Macaca mulatta: one gene and its partners. The protein of the gene in region 1 interacts with the protein of each later gene in a biochemical or structural test. Links are inferred from orthologs where the notes say so. Each region holds a gene or a part of one and is shown on either strand. Other genes may lie near its edges.

Evidence for each region. The genes of interacting proteins can lie anywhere in the genome.
Region 2: the proteins of XIAP (region 1) and PGAM5 form a complex in vitro, tested with the Homo sapiens proteins (2 studies listed by BioGRID, with this or other methods). The link is inferred for Macaca mulatta from reciprocal best matches to the Homo sapiens genes XIAP and PGAM5.
Region 3: the proteins of XIAP (region 1) and CASP9 form a complex in vitro, tested with the Homo sapiens proteins (12 studies listed by BioGRID and IntAct, with this or other methods). The link is inferred for Macaca mulatta from reciprocal best matches to the Homo sapiens genes XIAP and CASP9.
Region 4: the proteins of XIAP (region 1) and HTRA4 form a complex in vitro, tested with the Homo sapiens proteins (2 studies listed by BioGRID and IntAct, with this or other methods). The link is inferred for Macaca mulatta from reciprocal best matches to the Homo sapiens genes XIAP and HTRA4.

What each region holds. Positions count from the first base shown.
Region 1 is NC_133426.1:130,314,029-130,318,125, forward strand, and holds the start of XIAP (E3 ubiquitin-protein ligase XIAP), read left to right. Parts: upstream 1-1,201; 5' UTR 1,202-1,413; coding exon 1,414-1,678; intron 1,679-4,097.
Region 2 is NC_133416.1:140,082,144-140,086,240, reverse strand, and holds the start of PGAM5 (serine/threonine-protein phosphatase PGAM5, mitochondrial), read right to left. Parts: upstream 2,836-4,097; 5' UTR 2,801-2,835; coding exon 2,610-2,800; intron 1-2,609. UniProt on the Homo sapiens protein: Mitochondrial serine/threonine phosphatase that dephosphorylates various substrates and thus plays a role in different biological processes including cellular senescence or mitophagy. Modulates cellular senescence by regulating mitochondrial dynamics.
Region 3 is NC_133406.1:225,516,934-225,521,179, reverse strand, and holds the start of CASP9 (caspase-9), read right to left. Parts: upstream 2,836-4,246; 5' UTR 2,815-2,835; coding exon 2,683-2,814; intron 1-2,682. UniProt on the Homo sapiens protein: Involved in the activation cascade of caspases responsible for apoptosis execution. Binding of caspase-9 to Apaf-1 leads to activation of the protease which then cleaves and activates effector caspases caspase-3 (CASP3) or caspase-7 (CASP7).
Region 4 is NC_133413.1:40,930,029-40,934,297, reverse strand, and holds the start of HTRA4 (serine protease HTRA4), read right to left. Parts: upstream 2,836-4,269; 5' UTR 2,693-2,835; coding exon 2,137-2,692; intron 1,835-2,136; coding exon 1,735-1,834; intron 321-1,734; coding exon 116-320; intron 1-115. UniProt on the Homo sapiens protein: Serine protease.

The DNA of each region.
Region 1 (4,097 bases):
TACTTTTCAAAAGAGTGAAATCTGAACTATTAGCATGGAAACAACCTCTGGGAAGACAAGATCTCCACTCAAAAGCTTCAAATTGAGATTCTCCTGCTCATGTTGAATGATGGTTTTATCTAATATTTTCTGAAATAGGGTGACTACTTGAACTACACAAAATTGTGAAATGAGAATATCTTTGATTTTATACTTTGTTTTTTCTTTTTTTGAGATGAAGTCTTACTCTGTCACCTAGGCTGGAGTGCAGTGGCACAATCTCGGCTCATTGCAACCTCTGCCTCCCAGGTTCAGGTGATTCTCGTCCCTTGGCCTCCCGAGTAGCTGGGATTACAGGCGTGTGCCACCATGCCTGGCTAATTTTTGCATTTTTTGGTAGAGATGGGGTTTCACCATGTTGGCCAGGCTGGTCTTGAACTCCTGACCTCAAGTGATCCACCCACCTTAGCCTCCCAAAGTGTTGGGATTACAGGCATGAGCCACTGTGCCTGACCACTTACATCTATTTTGATTGACTTGAAATAAAATTTAACACCCCAGGGAAGGCAATTCTCATGTGTTTTGAATTATACTGAGCATTAATTCTTCAGGATAATTATAGACTTGGAAATGTTTAATCCAGTCTCCTAGTCCATGCTGAAGCTCCTTTAAGTGATAGGAGGAACTCATAATCTACAAGGCAACCCAATCCATTTGTTGCTATATCAATTGTTATAAAGCTCATCCTTGGGTTAAAATTGGCTGTTTATAGTTGTATTTAATGACCTTAATTCTGCCCTCAAGCTATACAAAATGTGGATCTCTTTTCTACATGATAACCTTTTAGATATCAGTCTATCCTCCCTACCCTTCCCCTCACAATTTTTCCACCCTTTGCGATAAATATCCTTTGCTATTCTAACTATTTCTCATATGATATCATTTTTATCATCCCAATTGCTCCCTAAGGACATTAAACTTTGTTAATGTCCTTTCCAAAATGTATTTGGAACTGGAAATAATATCCCTTGGTAGCTGAATTGGATCTGGATGTTGCACATCTGGACACTAATGCAGCCTGAAGTTGCTGTAAGTTTTTTAGTCAACTTGTAATGTTGGCTCATGATGAATTTGTAATTAATTAAAATTCCAAGGTTTAATCTGGAGGATTGCCTTTATGTGATTTTTTCTTAAACCAAGTCTCCATTTTCTTTTAGTTATGCAACAGATTTTTTTTTTTTTTTTTTTTTTTGAGACGCTCGCTCTGTCACCCAGGCTGGGGTGCAGTGGCACGATCTCAGCTCACTGCAACCTCCACCTCCTGGGTTCAAGCAATTCTCCTGCCTCAGCCTCCCGAGTAGCTGCGATTACAGGAGTCTGCCACCACGCCTGGCTAATTTTCTTTGTTTCTTTTTTTTTTTTTTTAAAGTAGAGATGGGGTTTCTCCATGTTGGTCAGGCTGGTCTTGAACTTCTGACCTCAGGTGACCCACCCTCCTTGGCCTCACAAAGTCCCGGGATTATAGGCATGAGCCATTGCACCCGGCCCTTTTTTTTTTCTTTCTTTCTTTTTTTGAGATGGAGCCTCACTCTGTTGCCCAGGATGGAGTGCAGTGACATGATCTTGGCTCACTGCAACCTCCGCTGCCCGGGTTCAAGGGATTCTTCTGTCTCAGCCTCCCGAGTAGCTGGGATTACAGGTACCTGCCACCACGCCTGGCTAATTTTTGTATTTTTAGTAGAGATAGGGGTTTCACCATGTTGGCCAGGCTGGTCTCAAACTCCTGACCTCAAGTTATCCGGCTGCCTTGGCCTCCCAAAGTGCTGAGATTATAGGCATGAGTCACTGCACCCGGCCTATGCACCAGATATTTTTAAAAAACCAGATGTAAGACTTTACACTTACCCCTATTAAATGTTATCTCATTAGCCTATCAGGTAGCTTTGGTTTTTTACTTTTATTTTATTTATTTATTTATTTTTTTGAGACAAGAGTTTCGCTCTTGTTGCCCAGGCTGGAATGCAATGGTGCGATCTCCGCTCACTGCAACCTCCGCCTCCTGGGTTCAAGTGATTCTCCTGCCTCAGCCTCCCAAGTAGCTGGGATTACAGGCATGTGCCACCACGCCTGGCTAATTTTGTGTTTTTTAGTAGAGACGGTTTCACCATGTTGGTCTAGCTGGTCTCGAACTCCCGACCTCAGGTGATTTGCCCACCTTGGCTTCCCAAAGTGCTGGGATTACAGGCGTGAGCCACTATGACCGACTGGTTTTTTTCTTAAGACTAGTCAAGTGCAGAGTGAGAAGAGGGAAAAGAGTAGAACAAGGGGTTTGATCAGCCTTGGTTTCTTTGAATCTTGATTTTTGTCATTCGGTTTATTATGCTGATTCAACAGAGGGCCCTGAAGCTAATGTTGGAATGTTTTCAGACATCTAGGAAATGATAATTCATCAAAAGTCATGGAGACTATTCCAAAAGTTTTATGCAGATATAACTCAGCTGTTGAGGTATGAGTTAATACCACTATAAGTTGACATGGCCAGGAAAGACAAGTCCATTGCCAACTTGCTTTGTGTTGAACATTACTCCAAAAGAGATTAAATTCTAAGACATATTGTGTCAACATAAAGGCAAAAGAGCTGGCTAATTCTTCTCAAGAAATCAATGGCTCGACCTTTTGGCTCATGCCTGTAATCCCAGCATTTTGGGAGGCCGAGGTGGGGGATCACCTGAGGTCGGGAGTTCAAGACCAACCTGACCAACCTGGAGAAACCCCGTCTCTGCTAAAAAATACAAAATTAGCTGGGCATGGTGGTGCATGTCTGTAATCCCAGCTACTTGAGAGGTTGAGGCAGGAGAATCGCTTGAACCCAGGAGGCAGAGGTTGCAGTGAGCCAAGATCACGCCATTGCACTCCAGCCGGGGCAACAAGAGCAAAACTCCATCTCAAAAAAAAAAAAAAAATCAATTAATGCACATATAATATAGAGACAGAGTTCTTGTTACCATTATTTTGCCTTTGACAAGTTTATATTGAGCACATTATCAGGCAATGTGGGAGATTCTGGAGAACCAGGTTTGCCTCATAGCTAGGGTTACCATATGCTCTAGTTTGCCTGGGGCAACCCTGATTTATGCCTGTTGTCCCAGTGTGATTATTGCTAGTGTGATTTTTCACTTTGAGAAGTGTCCAGGTTTGGAAGATAAATTATCTTGCTATCCTTCTCATAACCTAATGGGTTCTCTTTAGTATTTTATCTGGGTTAAAATTACACAGCTGTAATTTGGCAGCTCTAATAAGACTGCAACAATACTTATCTTCCATTTGAACAGATTGTTACTTGACCAAGGGGAAGTTTTGTTTTTTTTTTTTTTTTTTTGAGGCGGAGTCTCGCTCTGCCGCCCAGGATGGAGTGCAGTGTTGCGATCTCGGCTCACTGCAAGCTCGGCCTCCTGGGTTCACGCCATTCTCCTGCCTCAGCCTCCCCAGCAGCTGGGACTACAGGCGCCCACAACCATGCCCGGCTAATTTTTTGTATTTTTAGGTGAGACGGGGTTTCACCCTGTTAGCCAGGATGGTCTCAATCTCCTGACCTCGTGATCCGCCCGCCTCGGCCTCCCAAAGTGCTGGGATTACAGGCATGAGCCACTGCGCCTGGCTACCAAGGGCAGTTAATAGCAAAAGTAACTGCAGGGCACATGTATGTCATGGGCAAAAAAAAAAAAAAAAAAAGCAATTAAGGTTTGCAGGTACTTAGAGTTTCTCCTGAGCCACTCTCTAGAGGGCAGTATTACATATATATCTGTAATTATCCAGTTACAACAAAAAAGGGGATCTGGTTCATGCATGAAAATCAGAAATATTTCATACTCTTAAAGAACACATTGGAACCAATATTATGATTAAAACATATTTTGCTAAGCAAAGAAATATTAAAATTAATTCATTAACATTCTGAACATTTTTTAATTTGTAAAAACTGAACTTTGATGCCTTGAATATATAATGATTCATTATAACAATTACGTACAGACTTTAATAATCTGCATATTTTATGCTTCTTTCATGTTTTTCCTAATTAATGATTTGACATGGTTAATAATTATAATATATTCTGC
Region 2 (4,097 bases), on another chromosome or scaffold:
GCACTGCATGAGACCTCCAGGAAGAAGCGGGAGATTTCACCAGATGAGGCTCTGGAACTTTACAGCGTGGACACCAGACTCAAGAGGAAACACGCTGTCTTCTAGCACCTTCCTGTAGTTGCTCATGCCTTCTGTCTGTACGAGTCTTTCCCAGCCCACAAGGCCCAATTCACTTCTCCCCAGACATGGCAAGCAAATACAGAACACCTGCTTAAAAGAGAAAGGCTGGGCTCAGTTCCTGGTTCTACTTCAAGTTTTTTTTTTTGAGACAGAGTCTCCCTCTGTCGCCCAGGCTGGAGTGCAGTGGCACAATCTGGGCTCACTGCAGCCTCCACCTCCTGGGTTCTAGTGATTCTCCTGCCTCAGCCTCCTGAGTAGCTGGGACTACAGGTGTGTGCCACCATGCCTGGTTAATTTTTTTGTATTTTTAGTAAACACAGACTTTCACCATGTTGGCCAGGCTGGTCTCGAACTCCTGACCTCAAGTGATCCGCCTGCCTCAGCCTCTCAAAAAGTGCTGGGATTACAGGTGTGAGCCACTGCACCCAACCTACTTCAAGTTCTTTAACCTTAATTTCTTTCCTTAAAAAGGCCTAAGAAATTCAGAATATTTTACTGATTTTTAAAAAAGAATTTAATGGGCTGGGCATGGTGGCTCATGCCTGTAATCCAAGCACTTTGAGAGGCCGAGGTGGGTGGATCACCTGAGGTCGGGAGTTCAAGACCAGCCTGACCGACATGGAGAAACCCCGTCTCTACTAAAAACATAAAATTAGATGGCGTGGTGGTACACGCCTGTAGTCCCAGCTACTCGGGAGGCTGAGGCAGGAGCATCGCTTGAACTCAGGAGGCGGTGGTTGCAGTGAGCCAAGATTGCGCCATTGCATTCCAGCCTGCGCAACAAGAGCGAAAATCCATCTCAAACAAAAAAGAAGAAAAGAAAGAAAAAGAATGTAACTCCCATCTAATCATGAGAAAATCTTCAGACAAATCTCAACTGAGGAACCTTCTATAAAACCCCTGACCAGGATGCGTCAAACAGTGATGATCATCGAAACAAGTCTGAGAAATTATCACCACCAAAACGTGCCTGAGGAGGCATGAAGATTGCTTGTCATGTGGGATCCTAGAACAGAACAGCAGGTAAAAGCTGAGGAAATCTCAGTGAAACATGAACCTTAGTAATAATGTATGGGTTACGGCTCATTAATTTTGATATATATACCACGCTTAGTGTATGATGCTAATAATAGAGGAAATAAGGTTAACAAAAGAAAAAAAAGTAATATAAAGTACTTAACACAACCACAGTAGTAAGTATAATTCTGTGCCCCTTTCTCAGAATACTGAGTATAAGGAGCAGTTAGGACTGGGCAAACCATCCTTGCCTCGAGAGCAGTCCTGGCCGACAGAAACAGAATGCCAGCAACATGTGAAAATTATAAATTTTCTAACGGCAACATTAAAAAGAAACAGGTGAATTTCGATCATACTTTTAATTCAATATGCTAAAAATACTATTTCAACACATAACCAATGTTAAAAACCTGCACTTTTTTTTTTTTCCTTTGAGACAGGCTCTGTTGCTTAGGCCAGAGTGAAGTGGCGGGATCTCGGCTCACACTGCAGCCTGGGACCCCTGGACTCAAGGGATCCTCCTGCCTCAGCCTCCCGAGTAGCTGGGACCACATGCGCGCGCCACCTCGCTCGGCTAACTTATTTTGTAATTTTTGTAGACATGGGGGTCTTCCTATGTTGCCCAGGCCGGTTTCAACTTCCTGGGCTCAAGCGATCCTCCGGCCTCGGCCTCCCAAACGCCCGGATTACAGGCGTGAGCTACTGCACCCGGCCCTGCTTAAGTTTATTTATTTTTGTTTGTTTGTTTTTGTTTTTTTGAGACGGAGTCTCACTCTGTCGCCCAGACTGGAGTGCAGTGGCGCGAACTCGGCTCACTGCAAGCTCCACCTCCCGGGTTCACGCCATTCTCCTGGCTCAGCCTCCCGAGTAGCTGGGACTACAGGCGCCGCCACCGCACCCGGCTAATTTTTTTGTATTTTAGTAGAGACGGGGTTTCACCGTGTTAGCCAGGATGGTCTCGACCTCCTGACCTCGTGATCCGCCTGTCTCGGCCTCCCAAAGTGCTGGGATTACAGGCGTGAGCCACTGCGCCCGGCCTGCTTAAGTTTAAAATTGACGTAAACTAAGCATTCCCTTCAGGAATCACACGGGCCATATTTCAAACGCTCATTAACCGCACGCGGCTGGCGGGCGCCCTCCGGCAAACGCCCCTGGAGGAGGCCCGGCTTCCACCCCAGCCTCGCCCCGGCCCGCGCTCCGGCGACGGCACCCAGGACGGACTCGCAGGGGCGGAGAGAAGGGCGACGATGAGGCGGAGCTCGGCCCACAGAAGCCGGCGGGAAGGGCCCGCCGCCCCCAGAACCCTCAGCGCAGAGCGGCCCCGGAAGGCGGTTCCTTCGCCGGGAGAAGCGGACGGCGACCCCAGATCCCGACTCGATCTCAACCTTGAACCTGGTCCCGATCCCGATCCCAACGGTAACACCGGCCCTGACCCCCATCCCGACCCCAGGCCCGACCAGCCCCGCGCGCACCTGTCCCAGTTGGGGTCCCAGACGCCGGGGCCCGGCCGCGCGCCCCCCGCCCAGGCCGGCGGCTCAGCCGGGCGTGGCTCCGCGTCCCCGCCCGCGCGCGGCTTCCCTACCGCCACGGCCGAGAAGAGCACGGCGGCCGAGCCCCCTGCCAGCCCGCAGGCCGCCAGCTGCAGCGCCTGCCGGAACGCCATGCCGCCCGCTCCCGCGCCGGCCCGCGCAGGCGCCCACGGCCCCGACGGCGCTCCGCGAGGGACACGCTTCCGCGGGAGGCCGCTTCCGGGAAGCGGGGACGGAAGTCCCGCCTCCTGGGGCGCGGCGGGGCGCTGGGCAGCCTTCAGCGAAGGGGTGTTTTCGCGGAGCCGCCTGCCCCGTCACTCTTCCGTCCCGTCACTGGTGCTCGCGAACGCCGGTGCGCGCAGGTGCGGGCGGAGCTGTGGAGACGCCGGGAGGGCGGTGCGGTGCTTTCCAGAAGGTTCCGCACCGGAAGCGCCTGCCCAGGCTTGAGGCTGGGTGCGGGGCGGAGACTCGGAGGAGAACTTGGGGCCCTGGTTTAAGGGAGTTGGGAAACCGCGGCAGATTTGTTTAAAGGATATGTTTTTGGTGGCAGAACCCGAAATAAATTTTTCCGCCGGCGCCGTTCCTGCGTGTGCGGTTCAAGCGGCGTGAAGTGCGTTCAGGTTCGGCCCGGCTGTTACTTCTGGTCCCGGCCTCCTGCGGGACAGTCCCTCTGTGGCCGGCGCATTTCGCTTAGCAGGGTCCTCAGAGGAACCTCGTTAGAGCCTGGGTTTCCTTCCAGGGGGACCGGCGCTCCCTGTGTGGACCGACCCCACCGCTTACCCATTGCTGGACGCCTGTGTGGACCGACCCCACCGCTTACCCATTGCTGGACGCCTGTGTGGACCGACCCCACCGCTTACCCATTGCTGGACGCTTGCCCTGTCTCAAAAAAAATTAATAACATAAAAAAAGGAAAATTGGGCCAGGCGCAGTGGCTCACATCTGTAATCCCAGCACTTTGGGAGGCCAAGGTGGGCGGATCACCTGAGGTCAGGAGTTCGAGACCAGCCTGACCAACATGGTGAAACTCCCTCACTACTGAAAATACAAAAAAATTAGCCTGGCATGGTGGTGCGCGCTTGTATTCCCCGCTACTCAGGAAGCTGAGGTAGGATAATCGCTTGAACCCGGGAGGCAGAGGTTTTAGTGAGCCAGGATCGTGCCTCTGTACTCCAGTCTGGGTGACAGAGTGAGACTCTGAAAAAAACAAAACAAAAAAATTGGCCAGGTTCAGTGGTTCATGTTTGTAATCCCAGCACTTTGGGAAGCTGAGGCGGGTGGATCACCCGAGGTCAGGAATTTGAAACCAGCCTGGCCAACATGGTGAAACCCCGTCTCTACTAAATACAAAAATTAGCCAGGCATGATGGTACACGCCTGTAATCCCAACTACCTAGGAGGCTGAGGCAGGAGAATCTCTGGAACTGGAGA
Region 3 (4,246 bases), on another chromosome or scaffold:
ATCTGGAGGCCTAAACCCTCCCTGTGGTGCTGTGCTTCAATGGTCACGCTCCTTGTCCACTTTCATGCTCCTCCCGTACTCCCGGCTCCTCTTTGAAGTTCGTAGTAGATAGCGGTAGAAAAAATAGTGAAAGTCTTAAAGTCTTTGCTTTCTTATGAGTGTATAGAAGAAAACGCTGACGTATGCTGCCTTCTCTCTCTGCTTCGGCTACCTAAAGGGAAGGGCCCACTTTCCTATGATCACGTGACTTGCTTCACCTTATCAATCACCTAAGACGACTCACCCTCCTTACCCTGCCCCCTTGCCTTGTATCCAATAAATAACAGCGCAGCCAAGCATTTGGGGCCACTACGGTCTCTGCGTCTAGGTGGTAGTGGTCCCCAGGGCCCAGCTCTCTTTTCTTCTATCTGTCTTGTGTCTTCATTTCTACGATCTCTCGTCTCCGCACACAAGGAGAAAAACCCACAGGCCCTGTGGGGCTGGACCCTACAGATTTTTAACTTTATTTAATTTTAATTACTTCAAATTTACCTTTAACCACATGTGGCTAATGGCTACTACAAACCTGTAGTGCCACTAAGAAGGTGAGTCTCACTAGCAGAGCAGTTGGCCACATGCAAATAGATGGTGGTGTTTAGATTTCTCTCCACATTTGCTAAACACTCCAGGAGGTCAACACTGTGTAAATGCATTGGTTCATCTTTTTCTCCCTCAATAACCTGATAGAGTTAAATTACAATTTCCCAACTTTTTAGGGTAAGAAATTTCAGGGAAACTGAGTCACAGAAAGGGGTTTTTCTGTTTGTTTGGTTCATTGGTTGTGGTTTTTTACGACTTGCTAATACGTTACAAGGCCAGGATGAGCGCCCAGATCCAAAACCTGCCTGTTTTTCAGCCATACTAGGGTGACAAAATGGCAACCTGTGGTTCCCACAAGGTTCTTAAAAAATTTCTGAATTTGTTGCTAACATTTTAAGCCAGGGAATTTGACAGAGGAATCAAGATTTCCAGCTTCTTTTTTAAAATGTGAAAGCTGGCCCAGGTACAGTGGCTCACACCTGTAACCCCAACACTGAGGCAGGAGAATCACTTGAGGCCAGGAGTTTGAGACTCATCTGGACAACATAGCAAGGCTCCTATCTGTACAAAAAAAAATTTTTTTTAATTAGCCAGGCATGGTGGCATGTGCCTAAAGTCCCAGCTACTCTAAAGGCTGAGGCAGGAAGACCACTTAAGCCAGGAGGTCAAGGTCGCAGTGAGCCATGATCTCATCACTGCACTCCAGGCTGGGCAAGAGTGAGACCCTGCCTCAAATAAGTGAAAGATCTGGCAATACTGGGCCATTTGCTGGTATGGCCATACTCAGCTGGAGTCAGAGAGCAGTGCAAAGGTATCCACTATGATGCCCATCCATCAGGCCTCCACAGGCACTGAGTTTGTGATCCCCGTGAACATTCCTGAAGGCAAGGACTGTGGCCTCAAACCATTTCTGTTCCCCAGTAGGGGCCACACAGAAGTCACAAGACTTAATTATTAATGAATAATTACTCATATGATACTCAATTATTTAAAGACTCTTTCCCTGGGCCAGGGCACTGGCCAGGGATATCCAGCCAGCCACTCACACCTACTGCACCTCATGGTAGGAAATATCTCCTGAGTCCTCACAGGCCTGTGATGAGGGTCAAATGAGATAAAGATGAGAAAGTGCTTTTAAAGAAAACCTCAAATGTTTGACTTTATTATTCTCCATTACCTGCATCAGGTCCCCTCATTTCCAAAACCTCTTAACAAAACATAAACTGAACACAGAAGGGGCTGGCCAAAGAGGGCAGGGCACACTGAGCCCTCGCTCTGTGCCTGGCACTACATTGTTTCACATCCATTATTTCATTTAGTCCTTATGACAGTATTATTCTTATTCCCATTTCACAGCCCAGAAACCGTGGCTCAAAGAGGGTAAATGACTGGCCCAAGAACACGCTGCCAGGCAGTCTTGATGCCAAAGTGGGTTCCCAATATCTCTATACTAGAAAAGTAAAAACGCACACGCCTCCTTCCTCGCAAGTATTAAACTAAAATGGAGACCAACCATGAATAATTCCTGAGCAGACAAAACCGATCAGGTATCCTTAGTGACCTAAATCTTGCTTAAACTGCAAACAGCAAAATTTAACTTGGGTCATATCTGATAAATGCTTATGTTAGAGAGAAGTAAAACTTAACTCCAGCCAATGATAAGCAAGCATAAGCAATCAACTAACAGACCTTTAAAAAAAAAAAAAGGGCAATTTTGTAACTGCAAACCAATCAAATAATTTCGTTATTTTGCTTCCACATTTTCCCAATAAATACTTGCCTCTGACCTTTTGTCATTGCAACACTAAACCTCTTTCAGTCTGGTGTTCTCCGATTCATGAACTGTTTCTAATTCAAAGTTTTCAAGATGGGTCTCACATTTTTCCTTTACACAAGACACACAAGCACTAACGGTGGACGCTGACTGAGTATGGCGTGGAATCGCTTTAGCGAACACCCGACTAAGAGGTGTTCGGGATTCTTAGTCTCCGCTGAGGGGTTCGAAGCCACAGGGAAAGCTAGGCTCCCGCACAATGGCTCCTCGAGGGGCGTGGGGACCCGGCCGTGCAGCGCGGGGCCAGGGGGCCAGGGGCGGGGGCGCACCTGGATGTCCTCGATCATGTGGGGCTTGAACAGCTCGCGGCTCAGCAGGGCGTCCCAGAGCTGATCCACCTGCAGCTCCTCCACCAGCCGCAGCCGGCACCGCCGCAGGAGCCGCCGGTCCGCTTCATCCATGGCGAAGAGCCTCAGTCTGCTTCCGGGCCTCGGCCGCCCGCCCCAGTCCCCAGGACCCGCCCCACTCCCCAGGGCCCGCCCCCGCGTCACTGCCCAGGGTCAGTCTTCGCTCCACCGCCTCAGGACGCATCTCCAATGCCTCACCCCGCCCCCAGGAGTCGCGCTTGCGTCACCTCCCCGCCCTCAGGACAACCCTCCGCGCCTCGCCCTGCCCCCAGGGTCAACTCTCGGGTAACCGCCCCGCCCCAGAACCCGCCCCCACGTCCCCGCACCGCCCCCGCGTCACCGCCCCGCCCCCAGGACGCATCTGCAAGGCCTCGCCCCGCCCCAAGGATTCGCTCTTGGGTCCCCGCCTCGCCGTCAGAACGCACCTCCGCGCCTCGCCCTGCCCCCAGGGTCAATTCTCGGGTCACCGCCCCGCCCCTGAACTTGCCCCCGCGTCACCGCCCAGTGCCCGGGACTCGTCTCTAAGGCCTCACCCCGCCCCCAGGTTCGCAATTGCGTCTCACCCCGCCCTCAGGACGCACCTCAGCGCCTCGCCCCGACCCCAGAATCCATCCCGCGCCACCGCCACGCCCCCACCCCGCCCCCAATGTCAATCTTGCGCCACCGCCCCGCCCCCAACGCCAAGCCTCGCGCCACTGCCCGGCCTCCAAGAGCCAACCCCCTCCCCTCGCTCCACCCTCAGAATCGTCCATGCGTCACCGCACCGCCTCGGACTCCAGCTCGCACCCTCGCCCCGCCCCCAAAGTCAATCCTCAGCCCCAGGATCCAATCTCCTGTCACCGCCCGGCCCCAAGGCGGTACCTCCGCACCTCGCCCGGCTCCCAGGGCCCAGCCCCGCCCCCGCGTCACCGCCCCCCTCCGGGCGCAGGTGCCCGTTTGCAATTGTGGCACCAGTTCCCAGTCCACCGAGGGCCCCTCGCCAGAATTCACTACGGCCCCGCTTTTACAGAGACTCGGAGAGAGTCGTCACACTTCCAGAAAGAGGGAAACCATGAGTGGAGCCACGGTCTGCCCCACCCCGTTCAACCTCCTCCGGGGCATGGATTCCCCTTAGCCTCCTCCTCCACCCCAAGAAAAACCATAAGCTCCCCTCACCGCCCCTGTGCCCAGATCGCAGTTGACTGTTCCAAACTCGAGTGTCTGATCCAACCAAGCCCACCTTACACAGTCTTCCGTTCCCTCTTCCCTCCCTCCCACCCTAACACCTCCCACACAGAAAAAAAACTGGCAGAAATCTAGTCCCTCTAAACTCCTGTCGTTTTGAACGGTTCATTTTCACATTTCAAAAATAATCGTTTCTGTTTACTGAGCATTTGCTAAGTCCCAGGCATCGTGCTAGCCACTTTTCATGCTTATCTCATTTATCCTTAACTACAATCCTGCCAGGAAAGTATTCCCGCCCCCACCCCCTGCCAGTTTTACAGAT
Region 4 (4,269 bases), on another chromosome or scaffold:
AAGCATATATTTGACAGAAAAGATGTGGTGTGAGAGTGTAGTGGGGCAGAAAATACCAGCAAATAGATAAAAATCTCCAAATATGCAGACTCTGACTCAGCCCTGAAATACTCACATTCGGTTCAATCTTAATCACCGCAAGATCCAATTTAAGGTCAATATCCTTGACAACGGCTTCATAACGGGCCCCATTCTGGAGCACCACCTCAATCCACTGCTGGTTCCTGACAACGTGGGCATTGGTAATAATGAGCCCATCCTCAGACACTATGAACCCAGAGCCACTGTACACAGGAACAGGCATCCTGCCGTGAAGTAACCTGTCTCCACAAGACAATAGTATAGACAGAGGGCAAGAAAGTTAGGGGATACAGCCATATCATCTGAGAGTCACGGGAACCTCACTCTTATTAAACATACCTCCATCACAGTTTTCTTTTCTTTATTTCTTTTTTCTTTTTTTGAGACAGAATCTCGTTCTGTTGCCCAGGCTGGAGTGCAGTGGCACAGTCTCGGCTCACTGCAACCACCTCCCGGGTTCAAGCAATTTTCCTGCCTCGGCCTCCCGAGTAGCTGAGACTACAGGCATGCACCACCATGCCTGACTAATTTTTGTATTTTTCATAGAGACAGGGTTTCACCATGTTGGCCAGGCTGGTCTCGAACGCCTGACCTCAGGTGATACACACGCCTCGGCCTTCCAAAGTGCTGGGATTACAGGCGTGAGCCACCATGCCCAGACTTCCATCACAGTTTTCTCAGACATTTCACTTTTCCCTGGCTATGCGTAAATTTTCTCCATGTATCAATGGACTTGGCACCCACAGGGCCCCAGCCATCTCTTGTGAGCATGGTTGAGAGCTGGCTCCAGCTCTCCTTTTCCAGGGACACTGCCTCTTCAGAGTTGGTTAGTGTAGCAGCCCATGGGTTCTCTGCTGCGAAAAGGCTGAACCCAATCCTAATACTAGAGGCAAAAGTAAGAGCCTCGTACCACAGTGTCAAGGACCCAGGCAGGAGAGAATCAAAGGGCTCTGATTCTGGCTTAGTTTCCACCACCAACTGGCCTCGTAACATAGGACAAATTAACCCTGCTCTCTGGGTCTGGATTTCCTTGCCTCCAAAGTGGGGGCTGAGCAAGATCACAACCAAAATGCCTACTAAGCTGGATGTGGTGGCTCACACCCGTAATCCCAGCACCTTGGGAGGCTAAGGTGGCAGATCGTTTGGGTCCAAGAGTTTGAGACCAGCCTGGGCAATATAAAAATACCTTGTCTCTCCAAAAAATACAAATATTAGCTGGGTGTGGTGGCACCTGCCTATAGTCCCAGTTACTCCAAAGGCTGAGGTGGGAGGATTACTTGAGCCTGGTAGATGGAGCTGCAGTGAGCCATGATCTGTCATTGCATTTCAGCCTTGGCGACAGAGCAAGACCTTGTCTCAAAAAAAGAAAAGAAAATGCCTACTAGCTCTTACATCTGACCTTAAATTTTGTCTGTGGCAGGACGGGGAAAAAGCACCAGCCACCTAAGTGGGCAGGGGGAGCTCGGATTTGGAAGTTATCCTTGTGCCTCTGCTCTTTGGTTAAATGACCTTGAACAGGTTATTCAACCTCTTTATGTCTCAGTTTCCTCACTGGTGTTTTAGGATTAAATGACGCTTGCGAAGGGTCTGGAGTAGGTAGGCACGCAGAAACCATTAGCTGGGACAGTGGAGGTCTTCCTCCTCCTCCTTTACCTGCCCCACAGCTGCATGTGAACCACCGATGGCGCCACCTTCTCCACCACCGCGGCGATGAAGTTGTAATTCCTCCTGAGCGGGCCTGCCCTTCTGCTCCCTATGAAGAAATACTGGGTCAAGAGTACGCCTCGAGCGAACCAGACCTGCTATCCTAGTTGGGAAAATGTTAAAGGCAAGTCAGTGTTCAAAAGGTGCATGGTGAGGGAGAATCCACATAGCAGAAGGTAAAGAGCCCCTGTTATGGAGGAAAGGAAATCAGGAACAGAGAGGGGTCGAATCCAGGAGGCAAATGACGCAGGAGGACCCCGCGCGAACTATGCGATCTCAGTGAGGTCTTGTTCCTTTACGCTCCTCCAGAGTTAGAAAGTGTCCCCAGGGTGCGCGCCCCCCGCGGCTCACCTGTATCCCCGCAGTCCCCCCACTGCACAGGCACGGCCGAGATATTGCCCAGGCGGCGCGCGGCCCGGTTTTCGGTCCGGAGCGCACACAGGCTAGGGTAGGTGCGCCTGTCGCTGCCGCACACGGCCACTCCCTTCGTCGGGCAACCGCAGGTGCTGGGGAGCCCGGGGCGCAGCGGCTTGAGGCACTGCAGCCCCGGGGCGCACGGCTGTCCCTGCGCCCCGCCGCAGACTTGACCCTCGGCCGCGGGGCAGACGCGGCAACAGCGGCACAGGTCGAGCACCGGCGTGGTCCCCAGCGAGCAGGTGGGCAGCGCGGGGCAGCGCGTGGGCTGGCAGACCGCGGGGCAGGCCAGCTGGGTATGTAGTCTCTCAGCCCCGGCCCAGAGGACCGGCACCAGGAGCAACAGCAGCCCTGGCAGGAGGCATCGTCCCAGCCCCGCGGGCCGCAGCTGAGGTCTAATCATCCTGCTCCTTCCTTCCTCGCTTCCACTCTTCAGTGACTTCACTCTGGACCTGCAAACGCTCCTAAATGAGAGACACTTTCTCCCGGCCATGGCGCCGCCTCCGCCGGCCCCCAAACTTTAAGGGGCAGAGCCTGGCATACCTCTCCACATACACACCCGTACATCCCCTACCACCCGCCCCTGTCCGCTCCCCGGAGCCAGGTTCTCCCCCAGGCAATGAGGGGAAGGTCTCTAGCCCTACCCGGAGGAGGAACCTACCTCCTGAAATCCCTAAAACAGACAATGGGGGCAGACTGATCGCGGTACTTATATGACAGTGCGAGCGGAGCAATGCCGAGGTTGTGAGTTCGATCCTCACCTGGAGCACTTTTAATATTTATATAGGTGGGTAGTCGTGGCCGAGTGGTTAAGGCGATGGACTTGAAATCCATTGGGGTTTCCCCGCGCAGGTTCGAATCCTGCCGACTACAGTTTTGGCCGGGCGCGGTGGCTCACGCCTGTAATCCCAGCACTTTGGGAGGCCGAGGCGGGCGGATCACAAGGTCAGGAGATCGAGACCACGGTGAAACCCCGTCTCTACTAAAAATACAAAAAATGAGCCGGGCGCAGTGGCGGGCGCCTGTAGTCCCAGCTACTCGGGAGGCTGGGGCAGGAGAATGGCGTGAACCCAGGAGGCGGAGCTTGCAGTGAGCCAGGATCGTGCCACTGCACTCCAGCTTGGGCGACAGAGCAAGACTCTGTCTCAAAAAAAAAAAAAGAAAGCTCACCCACCCGTGGTCAGAAGGTACTAGAAAAACACATGGCCATATTTCAGTATTTCACATGGTTTTATTACAAAACAAGCCACAAAACAGTTTTAGAAAAGTTTTGCTACATACCAATTAGGAGATCACATAAAATGAGAAGCGTAACAGTTTCCATGCACTCAGCCTAGTGCTTACTGCCAGTGCATTTCACAGCTGAAACATCACTGCTTTAAAACACAGAATCATGCTACCCCTTCATAAGCAGAGGGGGAGGAGGTCAAACAGTATGTTTTTGCCAAACATTGCTTTATCTGAACTCTATCTAGTATAAAGGACTGGCTGCCGCAGGCAATAACACAGAGAGGGAAAAGGAACAAAGGAAGAAAACGATGCTGGCAGACAAGATTTAACAAACCTGTCCACTTCCAACATGTCTAAAGTTTATAAACAAAGCTCACTTGGGGACACTCAATTTCCAAAATGCTGTGACCTCCACATATGTTATCTGATTTACGCTGAAAACAAACCTACTAAATTCTACCCCTCAACTACTGAACCTGCTATTTATTCATGGGGTCCTTTTAGCCCATATAAGAGTATATTTATACTCAGAAATAGAAAAGAAAAAAACTTTTGCTTCAAGTAGACTAAGAAGCTGGACCTTAAAACTACTTTCTTTCTCGTGGGAGCTGAGTATTCAACTCAGAAATAGATGTATAACTCCAGTATTCTGACCTGACACCAATCTCCATAATGCATGGCTCAATAACTTTATGATGTCTCACTTAACACTAAAGGCCAAATTATTTTTATCAACCATCAGCTGATATTGAGTAAGCAAGTCTTTTGAAGCTTTCAAAAGTAATGGATGGTGGCCAGGTGTGGTGGCTCACACCTATAATCTGAGTTCTTTGGGAGGCT